Saccharomyces cerevisiae S288C: one gene and its partners. Changing the gene in region 2 together with the main gene of any one other region gives a genetic interaction. Each region holds a gene or a part of one and is shown on either strand. Other genes may lie near its edges.

Region 1 (5,061 bases), on a different chromosome or scaffold from region 2:
GAGGCGGTTAATGCGCTAAGGAAATCGAGAAAAAAGATCACTAAGCAATATGAAATTGGGACACCTACTTGGACAGGTAGGTTTGGTAAAGCAGGTAAAATTAGAAAGAGAGATCCGTTGAAAAATAAATTAACTGGATCAGCTGCCATTTTAGGCAATATTACAAAATCACAAAAAGAGGCATCCAAGGAAGCTCGCCAAGAAAATTACGACGATGGTATAACCTTCGCAAGATCCAAGGAAATCAATTCCAATACCAAAACGCTAGAAAATATTCGGGCATATTTACAGAAACAGAATAACTTTTTCTCATCTAGTGTTAGCATACTTAACAGCATTGGCGTCAGTCTTTCTGATAAAGAAGACGTTATTAAGGTTAGAGCATTATTAAAAACCATAGCACAGTTTGATAAAGAGCGTAAAGGGTGGGTGCTTGATGAAGAATTTAGGAATAACAATGCTTCATGAAAACTTAGAATGGACAGAGTACCCTTGACGTAACTTTACCCATAGAAATATCTATAAAAAATATGTATGTGTTATGTGTATATGTATATTCTGAAGACTCTTAGCGGAACCCGTAACCTTCAGATTCATTAATTGCCCAAAGTAATTTCAGTTCTAGTTTTTTTTTCGAGGAATAATTCCATAAACATATTTCATTAAAACATGTATGAGCCAATGGCAAATCATCACTATCATGCGACCCTAGCAAGCTAATTTTGAATGGGATAGTAGAGATACCCGTTGCAGGTATACGATCAGATGCCGTTACGAATTGTAATAATTTCTTCTGCAATGGATAGTCCCAACTTTCAATAATTTCCCAAAACCAGCAAACCGCTCTGGAATCATCGGAGAAGCCACCTACATACTTTGTCACGGATCTTAACGATTTGAAATCAAATTTAGTTTGTTCCTCATCACCACACACTAATCTCTCCAGCTCTTCAGAATTAAATAATTTTATAGAATTGCATTCTGCGAAGACCCTTTTAAAACCTGAAACAAATTTATTGTATTGTGGCTCAATGGACTTTTCCAGATAAAATTCTACCCATTTCATGACAAACTCATGCTTGTTACTTTGGGTTATTGGCACATTTCTGCCATTTTCACATAATTCTACCGTTACATACTCTTTGCTCGATTTACTGTCATTTAAAATCCAGTTGTTATTTCGATACGTAGTCTCAAATGTTAAAGAAAAGACGTCTTCGAAATTATCCTCTGTGTAATTGAGCATTTTTATTAAGTTCCTACTTGTCTCCGGAAACAATTCCGAGTAATCTTCAAAACTCAGAGGCTCTGAGCATAGTTTTTTATAAAGCGCCTTTGGAAATTGTAAATCTAATATGGTACTGTTGAAAATCGCCAACCCCATGACAACTCCAAACAAGTAATATAATTCCAGTTGTGAGTTTTTTCCTTTTGATTTGTCAAAATTTGGAGGGTCAATGGCAAACCATGAACGTGAGCTTTCTTTTATGTAAATAAATAAGCCATTCATCGGATTAAACAGCGATTTTGTTAATAAGAAAAACCATTCTTTTCTCAACCCTCCCGCATCAATTCCAGGTTCATTAACAAACTCTATTCTCAGCGATTTTAATAAATCGCCTTGATGTTCCTTGATACATCTCAATGAATCATGAGAAATAACGTCACGCCGTACTTTGATTTTGAAATAAACGTCTACGGATTTGCCTTTATCCAGTGAAATTAAAAAAGCCTGTTCAGCTTCATGTTCCATGATTCTGCGAATTTCATACTCCATAATAGAGATTTTGATGCCGAGTGACAATATAAATGGATACTTACAGAATGAAAAACATTTTTTTGTCGTCGAATTTCCCCACTCTTCAATCAGTTGATTCATTTTTGTCTTTTGAGCTACTCCTCTCCAATGATCGAAATCTTGTTTATAATCTATGAAGTCTAGCGTTATATTGTAAAAGCTTTGAATTGACAACGCTCCACGGCCATTTCTTCTAGTATTGGCTACATAATAGATGAACGTCAATTTTGCTGCAGAGTGAATATGCCAGTCTTCCTCATATTGAAAAAATTTAAATTTCATCTTATTATTGACGGGATGCGTGAAACCACTTCCCTGTTTATCATTTGATTGTGCACTTATTGGTCTAGTACTCAGGAATTCATGGCCAGTAGTGTGATGCCGACGAAGACGAGATCGCATCTCATCTTCAGGCTTCACGTTATTTTTTGCGGTTCTATTTGATAATTCGTTCGACAGTAATCTGGAAAATTGGAAATTGATGTATAAATTTAAAATCTCTACCTGGTATGAAAAATTATCCGTAGGCGTTCGCCGTAATGATTGAATCAATTGTTGAGATGTTTTTGTTGATAGGTTAGACAAGTAGCCAATACATCGTTTGGCCAACTCATAAGACACCGCCCTTATTTGTTGGGTCTCAAACACATTTTTGCTCTTCCGATCTCTAATAAGGCAGGTTCGTATTGTAGGTATATTTAATATAATCAGCAACCAACGATACTGTAATATTTGCAAATTTTCCCCTTTATTGATTGTTATTCTCTTCAGTAGATCGTTACAGCAACACAGCATACTATAATACGGTTTCCTTGTAGGAAGATTTGATAATATACTGTAAAATCTTTGTAAAACTTCATAATTCAGCATCTTTATATTCTTTCCACCATCATGTACCAAGAACGACCTGTTTAAAATGCTAACATCATGAAATCTGTCCAGTAAATACGTTATTACCGGTTGGAAAATCAACCCCTTTCTTTCTTTATCCAGAATCCCAGTCTTCTTAAGCCGCTGCAAATCATCATGGCACCGCCTTACTACCATCTGCAAACCCTCTAATGTGCACGAAATATGCGTACTAGATTCCAAATTACTGTTAATTTCCGGCTCCTTTACAATAACTGTTACTTGGCATGCGCTGCATCGAAATTTCGTTATGGAGGCTGGAAACCGTAGTGGGACACCACAACATAGGCAATTAAGTGAAATTAGACAGGATTTATCTTCTTCCCCTGACACGGATGCCGAAGAGTTCCGCTTATTGCTTTTGCTATTTGAGCAACTTCCGTCCTTTACACTAGCGGCTAAGGACCGTTCCGACGTGCGCCTTCCTGATTTGGGTAACCTGTTCTTAGTATGGGCTACAGAATGTGATAGCAACTCCTTCGACACAGATCCATCTCTACCGTCTTTTTTTGCATTAAGCTTATCAAATAAAGAAACCATTTCCTATTTTACTTTACCTATCAGCCGCAGTATTCGAGAGATATACCTGGTAAATTTCACCAATGCCCTTAAAAATATGTACTTTTCTGCTTAAAGTCGAGAAATGCATGCAAAAACTTGCCCCTATCTAGCAATCCTTCGAATATATTTATCTATCTACCTGTTCCACATGGGCGGTTATACCTGACTCTTCAAAAAATCCTGTAACCTCCATTTTTTTCCTTTATTTGGGGCAATCACAAAAAAAGGGTCCCAGAAAGATATGACCCTACTCCCTTTTTGCCTTATTTAAAAGTGCTAGGAGATACAAGGTTAAAGCTAGACCTCGGTTAACGATGGGTCTTGACACGTAGGCGTTGCTCTCCTCTCCATAATCATAGTAAGTTGAGACAATCGTATACCTCCAAAGGAAGCACTTGTTGGCTTGACAAGAGACTCATGATAGACAGGAACGAGAGTCAGGGTAATTGGATAGTGGAAAGATGAAAGCAAGAGAAACGATGCAAAGAGGAGGCTGCCCAGGGCTTGGCGTATCCAATTTCTCATGCCAGCAGGGAGGATTCGTATAGCGATGACTGACAACATTATAGTAAGTGAGGTTGATGGTCCCCCGGATGTAGTTAAATGTTTTATTAGGGAAGAAGATGGACTCGAAGGACAGAGCCGAGAATTGGTGGTCATAGGACTAGAATATATAGATGTGTTTGAAGGGGTAGAACAAGATGAAGCGCGCAAGAAGTTAAGACTTAGGACTGTCGGATATACAATGGCAGCCTTTTATTTCAAAGATCATACTGCACCTAACCGAAGATTTTATATTCTGTTGAAAGCCACGGGACGGTTGGACTTCGTCAACCTTGATTACAAAATAGTGAAATCTCTGGAAACAGGAATTGATCAGGTAAGATCAGAGCCAAAGTTCATGTTCCAAGATCCACTACGAACAGCTCTGGTTTTTAATTTGTCATGCACTGAAATTTACGAGATTTCTACTGAGGACATTTTTTGTTTGGAAGAAACAGACGTTAAGCTGAGTTATGTGACATCCTCACCGATAGTATCCATAGATGCGTGTATCAATTTCAATGATTTCTTAGATAAGGATGTCTTTACGTTGTCGATTCTCACACGTGCACACAATGAGGTTGCATATAAGTTGGAAGCATGCGTGTGTGTATTCGAGTCTAAACCAGCCAAAGGAACGAAGTGGCAAAGAACTACCAATTTAACATTTGTGGAGGAAGCAACGGTCTCACAAGTACTTCTCAAATCGGTCACCAATATTGGTCATTTTGTTTTTACGCCATGGAAAACTTATTTTATTAAACATGCATTGTCATCGAAACAGACCATTGATGGTAAAACGGTAGACAAAATATACCAAGGGCCTGGTGCCTTTGGGTCTGATAACATGGAAAGAATCGAACTTTTGCAGCCTATTTTAGCGGATACCACATTAAATCATTTAACATTTACATTTATGACGAGTACTGCAATTCTAATAACATGCAGAATGAATGCAATCCTTAGCAGTTTTGAAGACGATACGTATATCTGGGAAAAGGCCTTGTTTGAGAGGCTTCCCATCAATGGTGGTTCCTCACATGATCACTACCTTGCAGCGTTTTTCAATGAGAAGTGTTGGATACTGGTATCCCCAAAGGGCCATCTTACAGTATATTCAGTCAGAAATGAAGGGCATAGTAATTTTGTTCATCTTGGTTCTTTTCTTTGCAAATCAACCTTATATTCCGATTTGATAGGGAACTACACCAAGTCACATTTATCTTGTGGATCATTACACTGTGGGCAGG
Region 2 (3,455 bases):
GATTCCCTGTAGATATTTTGTAGAACTAGAACAATGGGCGAAAACAGCTTATCTCGGTTCCTTAAAACTGGCTTATTTGCTCCTTCTCTGCATATATCAGAAATTTTTTCAGCAGTGTCTTCGCATAAAATCCAGGGGAGCATAATATTATTATTCTCAGTTCATCAAAATTGAAATTTCTAACCACTGTGTCATCCGTTCTTTCTTGTCACACAATTTGCTAATATCAGTTCTATCTTTCTTTTTTGGAAACTTCAATTTTAGTTTTAATATAATTGAAGACGCTTTCAATAAGCAAATGCCAGAAAATCCTTCTTGCAGAACCACCGTAGCAGTTTCTGAGTTTGATTTGGAGTCGATTGCTTCTTTCAAAAGTTTTCTGGCACATTTGTTAAAGTGGCGCTTAATAGCAGTAAATAGATGTTCACTGGTGCTAGCTATATAGCGCAGATAATTCTCTATTACATCAAATTCGTGGGATAAGTTTTTTAATCTTACAGCTACTAAATTGGTAACTGTTTTTCTTATCATCTCATTCTTCTTAGTTTTGAATAATTTTTCTGAAATATAACCTTGTCCTTCTTGTCTATTATTATTGATAAATTGTAAAAAGGTCATCTTTAAGTTGACGAATCAACGTGATAATTGTGTAACCGTTATCTTCGCTGTCGTTTTTGCTACAGATATGATTTTCATTTTCCATTGAAGTCTATTGTGCCACTTAATCAAAATGCGTTCGATGATAAATTTACTAAGTTCTTTAATAACTTGGAAAACTAATACACTAAAACACATGCACGCCACGGAGTATGGACATTATAAACGTGTGAACATTTCAAACTCACAACTTGCATGACATTACTCTCTCTTTTGCATCCTTTATTCCTCGACATACCCCATTTCTCACTAATTTGGTATTAGTAATTATGCAGAAAGGTTCGAAGCTGTCAATTCTTTTTAGACATGTTTCTTGAAAGTCTTTACAAAAATTTATCAATTGGAGGCATCTCAAGCTCTCCATTTATAAATGGAAGAAAATGAGCCTCTTCCCTTCAATTTTGCTTAATCAATAACTTCATGTATTCTTCCAATATAAGAGAAGATGAGTAGAAGGAGAAAATAATCACAATTATTCTGTAACTATCATATAATTTTGTTTACATATAATTAAGATACGAATGTGTTCGTTGAATAGGTATGTGGAGTCAGGGTATATCAGTTAGAAGAATGAGAATATTTCTTCTTACCGATATCTAAGGGTATATATCTATATTTTATCATATGTTGAATCTGCCTTCTCATAGTTAAAAAAAACAATAATATGAAATACATCAATAAGATGGGCCAAAATACTGGAATATCGAAGATTGAAAATAGCGACAACAAGAGGGAAATGACAGTGGCTCTAATGCTGTTATACCAGAATTTGAACTCTGGTAATCTTCTGATGAATGGACGGAATTCTTCTGATTTTTCTCCAGCTTCCAATTCGTTGTTTTCTTCATCTTGCTGTAAGGACATATCGAATTTTGGGGTCAAAAAGGCTAAAAATTGATTCAATAAAAATAGACCTAGACCATAACAAATCACATACCAGCCTTCGGCCATTGTAATACGAACCATAAACAAACATAACAAACCACCCAATACAGCCCACCTCTCCTTAGCGTGAGGAGTGACTTTATCCAAATAGTGTTGATATAATAATTTCATTGTATTCATCTTAGTGATTAAGGGGTTACTTGAACCACCGTTCATTGTATCAGAGCTATCGTAATCCATCTTGCTTCCTTTTTTTGATACTCTATGCCTTTCGTGTAACACTTAGTCCCAAATCGAAATCGCCTTTCTTGTATCGTTATTTTTCTTATGTATAATTCGTGTTCTACTGCAGAGGCGTGTTTTGACAAGTTTTTTTTTCCTCTGCGAACGAAAAACCCACAATTTTTAACCTCATTGAGGTAAGGTTTTCCAGAGGAGAGGTTGAGGAGCCCTGCGAAGCAATTATATTGAATCATTCACATGCTTGTTATTGTTCTGCAGGGCTTGGCAGGTTTTTTATCAGTATGCATAATTGAAGGAGAAAGTATACATGAAAGGTTTGACTAACTAAGGGAGAAAACTTCCATTTCTTACATAGATCATCGCCATTCTATGTCAAAAGCGCTATAATAAACTTCATCGATCTATTTACGGGCTTTCATATGATTTATTTCTGCTAGATTTTGTTGGTAATGGTCTGTACTTGTATTGCGCGTTGCATTATTGTTATTCATCTCTGGTGAGGGAACAACTGTCTCAAAGATTCCCACTTTTTTATCCGTTGAATGATGCCCGTAGTATACCTATATCCAGTTTCCTCATTCTAAAAGATTTTTGCGTTTCCTGTTGCTGCATGATGGTTTTAAGGCAGTTATACTATTATAGGTCAACTAAACATATTTATCAGGGCATTTCCATTACTTCCATAATAATTATAAGTGTGTTCCTTGTATTAGGCATATTTACATATGGCTGTTCCATCTCTAATTTACCGTTGAAAAATTCAGGTAAATTTGGCGTTTTCTATTTGGAACACATAAATTATTTGTGGGTAATGGCAAATCTGCTTAAATGTTTCAAGTATGTGCCTCAAATGAGTATAAACTGGATGGGATGCTCAACAGTAGGTTTATCATCAAAGTTTGCATTGATATCATTTTTGGCTGAATCTATCGATTTATTAGGTAGACTGGTAATACCGACCAATGCATTGTTTTACGAGATACCATTTAATTCAACGCCCTTTTGGGTAAAATTGATACAATTTGTCACCTTATTGGTCATACTTTGTCAAGTTCAGTATGTTTACGTAGGACGGAAACCACGGTTGCCAAAAGGAAAACTATAACAAGGTCAGCTCATTCTCTACCTTAATGGCTTTGCGATGTTTGCAAATTTAAGGAGTTTTAGATAATGCATTTATTATTACTATTTTTTCTTTTATTTTTCCATATTTACAGGCGACATACTATGATAGAATAGAATCTAAAGTTTTTTACCCAAAATGGAGGTAGCTATCTTTACACCAGTGCCAACATGTCTTTCTGGGTCTGATTGAAAGTCTTCTAGAGTTACAGGTTTTGTATATTGTAATAAATTATCTAACTCTGCTTTCATTTTTTTTCTTAGCTCTTCATCTCTTGTAATAATGAGAGCATTCGATTCCAAATCTAATGAATACGCCCTTCTCGTATAGTTTGAAGATCCTATAACCGTGATAAAGGGTTTCCAATTGTTAGCATCATTTTTATCACGAGCGGAAAGCCAAATACCTTTTGCGTGATATGACCAACCATTCGGCTTATTTACTACGCCTCTTTGCCATTCTCTTAATGTAATAGCATGATCTTGTCTGTACCTACATACATCTTGTAGAAATTTTTTTGACAGGTACAAGTAAGCACCAGGTAAAT
Region 3 (4,329 bases), on a different chromosome or scaffold from region 2:
ATAAATAGTGAAGTTTTCTATGGACGCCAAAAAATCTTAAGGGTATCTTGAGTGTAATCATCATTGGAAGGATTATTATCTTTCACGAGTAAAATACTATTAATAACTAGTAATTTCCGTGAAGTCATTAAAATGAACAAAACGATAAAACGGTTTCTTATTGCTAATGTGCTGATTTTTTGCCAAAAGGTAAAATCTAAAAATATCAATTGCATACCTTCACATTTGGTATATTACCATATAATAGCAAGATGACATAAATCGGTGAGGAGCAGTTACCAAATTCCATGGAAGATGAAAAACAGGGTTGATAATATAATAAACTGTTGGAACGAGAGTAATTAATAGTGACATGAGTTGCTATGGTAACAATCTAATGCTTACATCGTATATTAATGTACAACTCGTATACGTTTAAGTGTGATTGCGCCTATTGCAGAAGGAATGTTAAACGAGAAGCTCAGACAATACTGAAGCTGTGTTAAAGACCTATTAGTTGAACATGTTATGGTAGGTACATATATGAGGAATATGAGTCGTCACATCAATGTATAGTAACTACCGGAATCACTATTATATTGGTCATAATTAATATGACCAATCGGCGTGTGTTTTATATACCTCTCTTATTTAGTATAAGAAGATCAGTACTCACTTCTTCATTAATACTAATTTTTAACCTCTAATTATCAACATAAACAATGGAAGAAAAATAATAATATTACCAAGCAAAATTATTGTCCTTGTGGATTTCGATATTTTCAACAGGTACCTTAGTAGAGCTGAAGTTTTTTCAAATTAAACATTTATGTGGTAGTCATATATATGTGTCATGCGAGTCTTTACATTAAATATATGGTAACCACCAGAGAACTTGTTATATTAGTCACGATTAATAATGTTGGAATAAAAATCCACTACCGTCTATCAACTAGTAGTTATATTATCAATATATTATCATAGACGGTGTTAGATGATGATATAAATTATGAGAAGCTGTCATCAAAGTTAGAAGAAGCTGAAATGCAAAGATTGATAATATGATAGGATAATGAAACATATAAAATAGAAAGAGGGATAATCGTAATATTAGTATGTAAAAATATACATTCCATTTTGAGGATTCCTATGTCCTCGTGGAGAACTTTTAGTATATTCTGTTTACCTAATATTATAATCTTTTATCAACAATGGAATCCCAACAATTATCTCAAAATTCACCTATATCTCAAATAATAAACCGATCGGACTGCGTTCAGTGAACCTCTCTTATATAGTATAGGAAGATCCAAATTTATTATTCGCTGATATGACCTTTTGACCTTTACATATTAACGAGGTGCTTTTACCAATGCATAGACGAGCAGCTTATCCCATAATGAGTTTAAATTCTATTCAACTCATAACAACTTATAGTTGCTATAGTCACACCTTTTCAACAGATAAGTGGTTGTTTGGCCGAGCGGTCTAAGGCGCCTGATTCAAGAAATATCTTGACCGCAGTTAACTGTGGGAATACTCAGGTATCGTAAGATGCAAGAGTTCGAATCTCTTAGCAACCATTATTTTTTTCTCGCGTATTCCTTTGAGGGCGCCCCTTTATGTTGAAATATTGAGAAGCTACGAATCAAACTTTGAAGTCAGTTGAGTAAGCAATATGAAAAACATTGGAAAATACAATAAAACACAATTACGAAAACTATATTGTTTTGAACAGAAAAATAGAAGGAAGTACTAAAATTACTCTTTCACCACACAACAATTTTAACTCAAGAAGATAATCACTGCTTACTTTTATATTTTATAGACAATTTGCACTTTGGGGTATTTTTCTTAATTTTATCTGGGTTTTTTTCTTCTTTTTACAAAGAAACTATGCTAAGAATATGAACTCTTCCACTTCTTCAGAAAATGTGTTCATAAATTCATTTAGCTATTTGAATCAAACATCACAAGCCGTAATCTCAGGTAACTCCACTTTCGCAAATGTTATCAACTTTCCTTATAGACTTGGATTATCCTTTATTGGGGCTGTGAACTTGCAGTACGAGCAAACCGTTAAATCTGAAGAAATTCCCCCAACTCTAAGGTCTGTTTTTGATACAATAGGGTTTTTTTTCAGCCCGTACGCCATATTTTGCTTTGTAATCGCCATTGTCCTGAACCGGTTCGTTGTATTTTACGCCGTCCTTAACAACGGTTCCAGACGTACTTTACCGTTATGGTTGAGTAATGTTTTCCATGTATCAGCAGTAGTTGTATTAGCAATGGTATCCTTAGGTCCGCTGACCTTGGGTAAGGATTTCAAAATATTAGGCGACCCTGCTTTTGCCCAAGAAAAATTTTTACTGAATATATTCTACGCTTTCGCTTACTCTTATTGTGTCGAAACCATATTTACCATCATGCGGAATTCCAGCCCTTTGGAGGGCACTGACTATTCATTGTTTGAACTTTCGATTCAGTTTTATACAATGACTAATAATAATACTAAATTTTTAGATTCTCCTGATTACATTATAGACTGTTCTATGGCTATTTTGAGCAGGATATTGATCCATTTGGTGGAGATTTTCAGGCTTAGAAATTATCGTCTACTTTTTAGTACTATTATGAACCTCTGTCATATTTGTTACTTAGGGATAAGAGTTAAGCAGGGCGGCTGGAAAAGCCTTCCATTTTCGGTGAAATTTAGGCACTTTCCAAAACTGTTTTCAGTGTCTATTATTTGCTTATCATTACTGATTTTTAAATTATCATGCTTAATTAGATGGGATCCATTTGGAAAATCACGTAATTCTTGCGAACTTTTACAGTTTTACCCTCTCAGTAGAAATTGGAAAAAATACTTAAATTACACGGGAGAAGAAGATTTTTCTGCTATGGCCACTAAATTCGCACTATTATTATGCTCAGGAACTGAACTAATGGAAAAGGGTATACGAAGAGAATTTCCTGCTATTAACATCCCGGATAATGTTAATGAGAAATTTTTTATTAGCGGTTATTTAAATGAACTTTCTAAACCGTATAAAGAGAACACTTCCATCAGCTTCCCAAAGAAAAATTCATCAATATTAAAGCAAAGATTTTTTTTAATGTTTCCAAAATCTATAATATGGATCATGAAGAAGCTTGTAGGCCAAGTATTCTTTGGCTTCAGAGATAACAAGGACGAGGACATCCCCGACAACGACCCATCAAAAATGTTAAAGATAACTAAAACGAACTCTCTCAATAATAGTGCCGGCCACAAAGAAGATATTGAACTTGAACTATTGAACACATCAGATGATGAGTATTCTGAAGATTACGAGCCTTCTGAAGTTGAGTCACTGGGGGATTCTGATGAAGAAAACTTGGAAGAAGATTCACTGATTTTCAACGAAACTCGGGATGCCCTACTGGATTTATTTTCTTCCGAAGATAATGAAGTTCATACTGATTATAATTGGATCATGTCAACTAGCCGTATCCTTCAACAAAAATTACTGTCAGATAAAACTTTGACAAGGGCGTCTATCTTAGATACAAAGTTAAGTGAAGTAGATGAGACTTTTGGTACAGAAAGTGATTTTGATCTATCTTGCGCGGTATGCAAAGTCAATGAAAGAAATACAGTATTATGGCCCTGCCGATGTTTTGCCATTTGCGAGGATTGCAGAATTTCTTTGGGTTTACGTGGGTTCAGCACTTGCGTATGTTGTAGGAGTAAAGTTCATGGGTACTGTAAGGTTCATCCTGTTTCAGATAGTAAATAATAGTTTAAGAACTTTTGCATGGTATCTAAAAGAGGTTTTTCGTTTGGGAGCTCTAGCATTAATTACTATAGCTAGAGCTTTCTGTGTTGCACATATAAACATCATAATAATAAATCAAGTTTTTTTTCTTTGGGAAATGTTCGAATTAAAATTGTACTTATAACATATCGTATCATTAGTATATATATAAAAGTGTCAGTGGCGATTATATCATTAGAGGAGGAAAGAATAAACTATACATCGATTTGCCGTCATTTCTGTATTTATGGCATATTGACTCTGAACTCATGCCATCTAATGGTGGAACAAACGGATTGGGTTCTCTACGTAAACCAAATCGAATGAATCGGCAGCTGAAAATACAACCTTGTCCATGACAGAACCAGATGGAGCGGCAATGTATTTGACACCGGATTTAACTGCTCTGTAAACATTGTCTGGGAATGGGAAAAATGCATCCGATGACAAAGAAACGTTGGTTAATTTACTCAACCATTCCTTTCTTTCTTCTGGAGTAAATGGTTTTGGAATCTCCTCGAACTTCGATTGGTATTCAGACAATTCTGGT

The links.
Region 1: mutations in YCL002C (region 2) and HUL4 together harm fitness more than expected from each alone (negative genetic interaction), as found in Saccharomyces cerevisiae (2 studies listed by BioGRID).
Region 3: mutations in YCL002C (region 2) and ASI1 together harm fitness more than expected from each alone (negative genetic interaction), as found in Saccharomyces cerevisiae (2 studies listed by BioGRID).

The regions. Positions count from the first base shown.
Region 1 is NC_001142.9:500,145-505,205, forward strand, and holds HUL4 (putative E3 ubiquitin-protein ligase HUL4), read right to left. Parts: upstream 3,248-5,061; coding exon 569-3,247; downstream 1-568. Other genes in the region: DNA-dependent ATPase RAD26, read left to right, coding at 1-468; MLO127 (Mlo127p), read left to right, coding at 3,792-5,061.
Region 2 is NC_001135.5:110,243-113,697, reverse strand, and holds YCL002C (uncharacterized protein), read left to right. Parts: upstream 1-2,022; coding exon 2,023-2,064; intron 2,065-2,140; coding exon 2,141-2,890; downstream 2,891-3,455. Other genes in the region: YCL001W-A (uncharacterized protein), read right to left, coding at 157-618; RER1 (protein retrieval receptor), read right to left, coding at 1,216-1,782; PGS1 (CDP-diacylglycerol--glycerol-3-phosphate 3-phosphatidyltransferase), read right to left, coding at 3,028-3,455.
Region 3 is NC_001145.3:503,447-507,775, forward strand, and holds ASI1 (putative ubiquitin-protein ligase ASI1), read left to right. Parts: upstream 1-1,886; coding exon 1,887-3,761; downstream 3,762-4,329. Other genes in the region: bifunctional phosphoribosylaminoimidazolecarboxamide formyltransferase/IMP cyclohydrolase ADE17, read right to left, coding at 4,056-4,329. UniProt on the Saccharomyces cerevisiae protein: E3 ubiquitin-protein ligase which transfers ubiquitin to substrates promoting their degradation.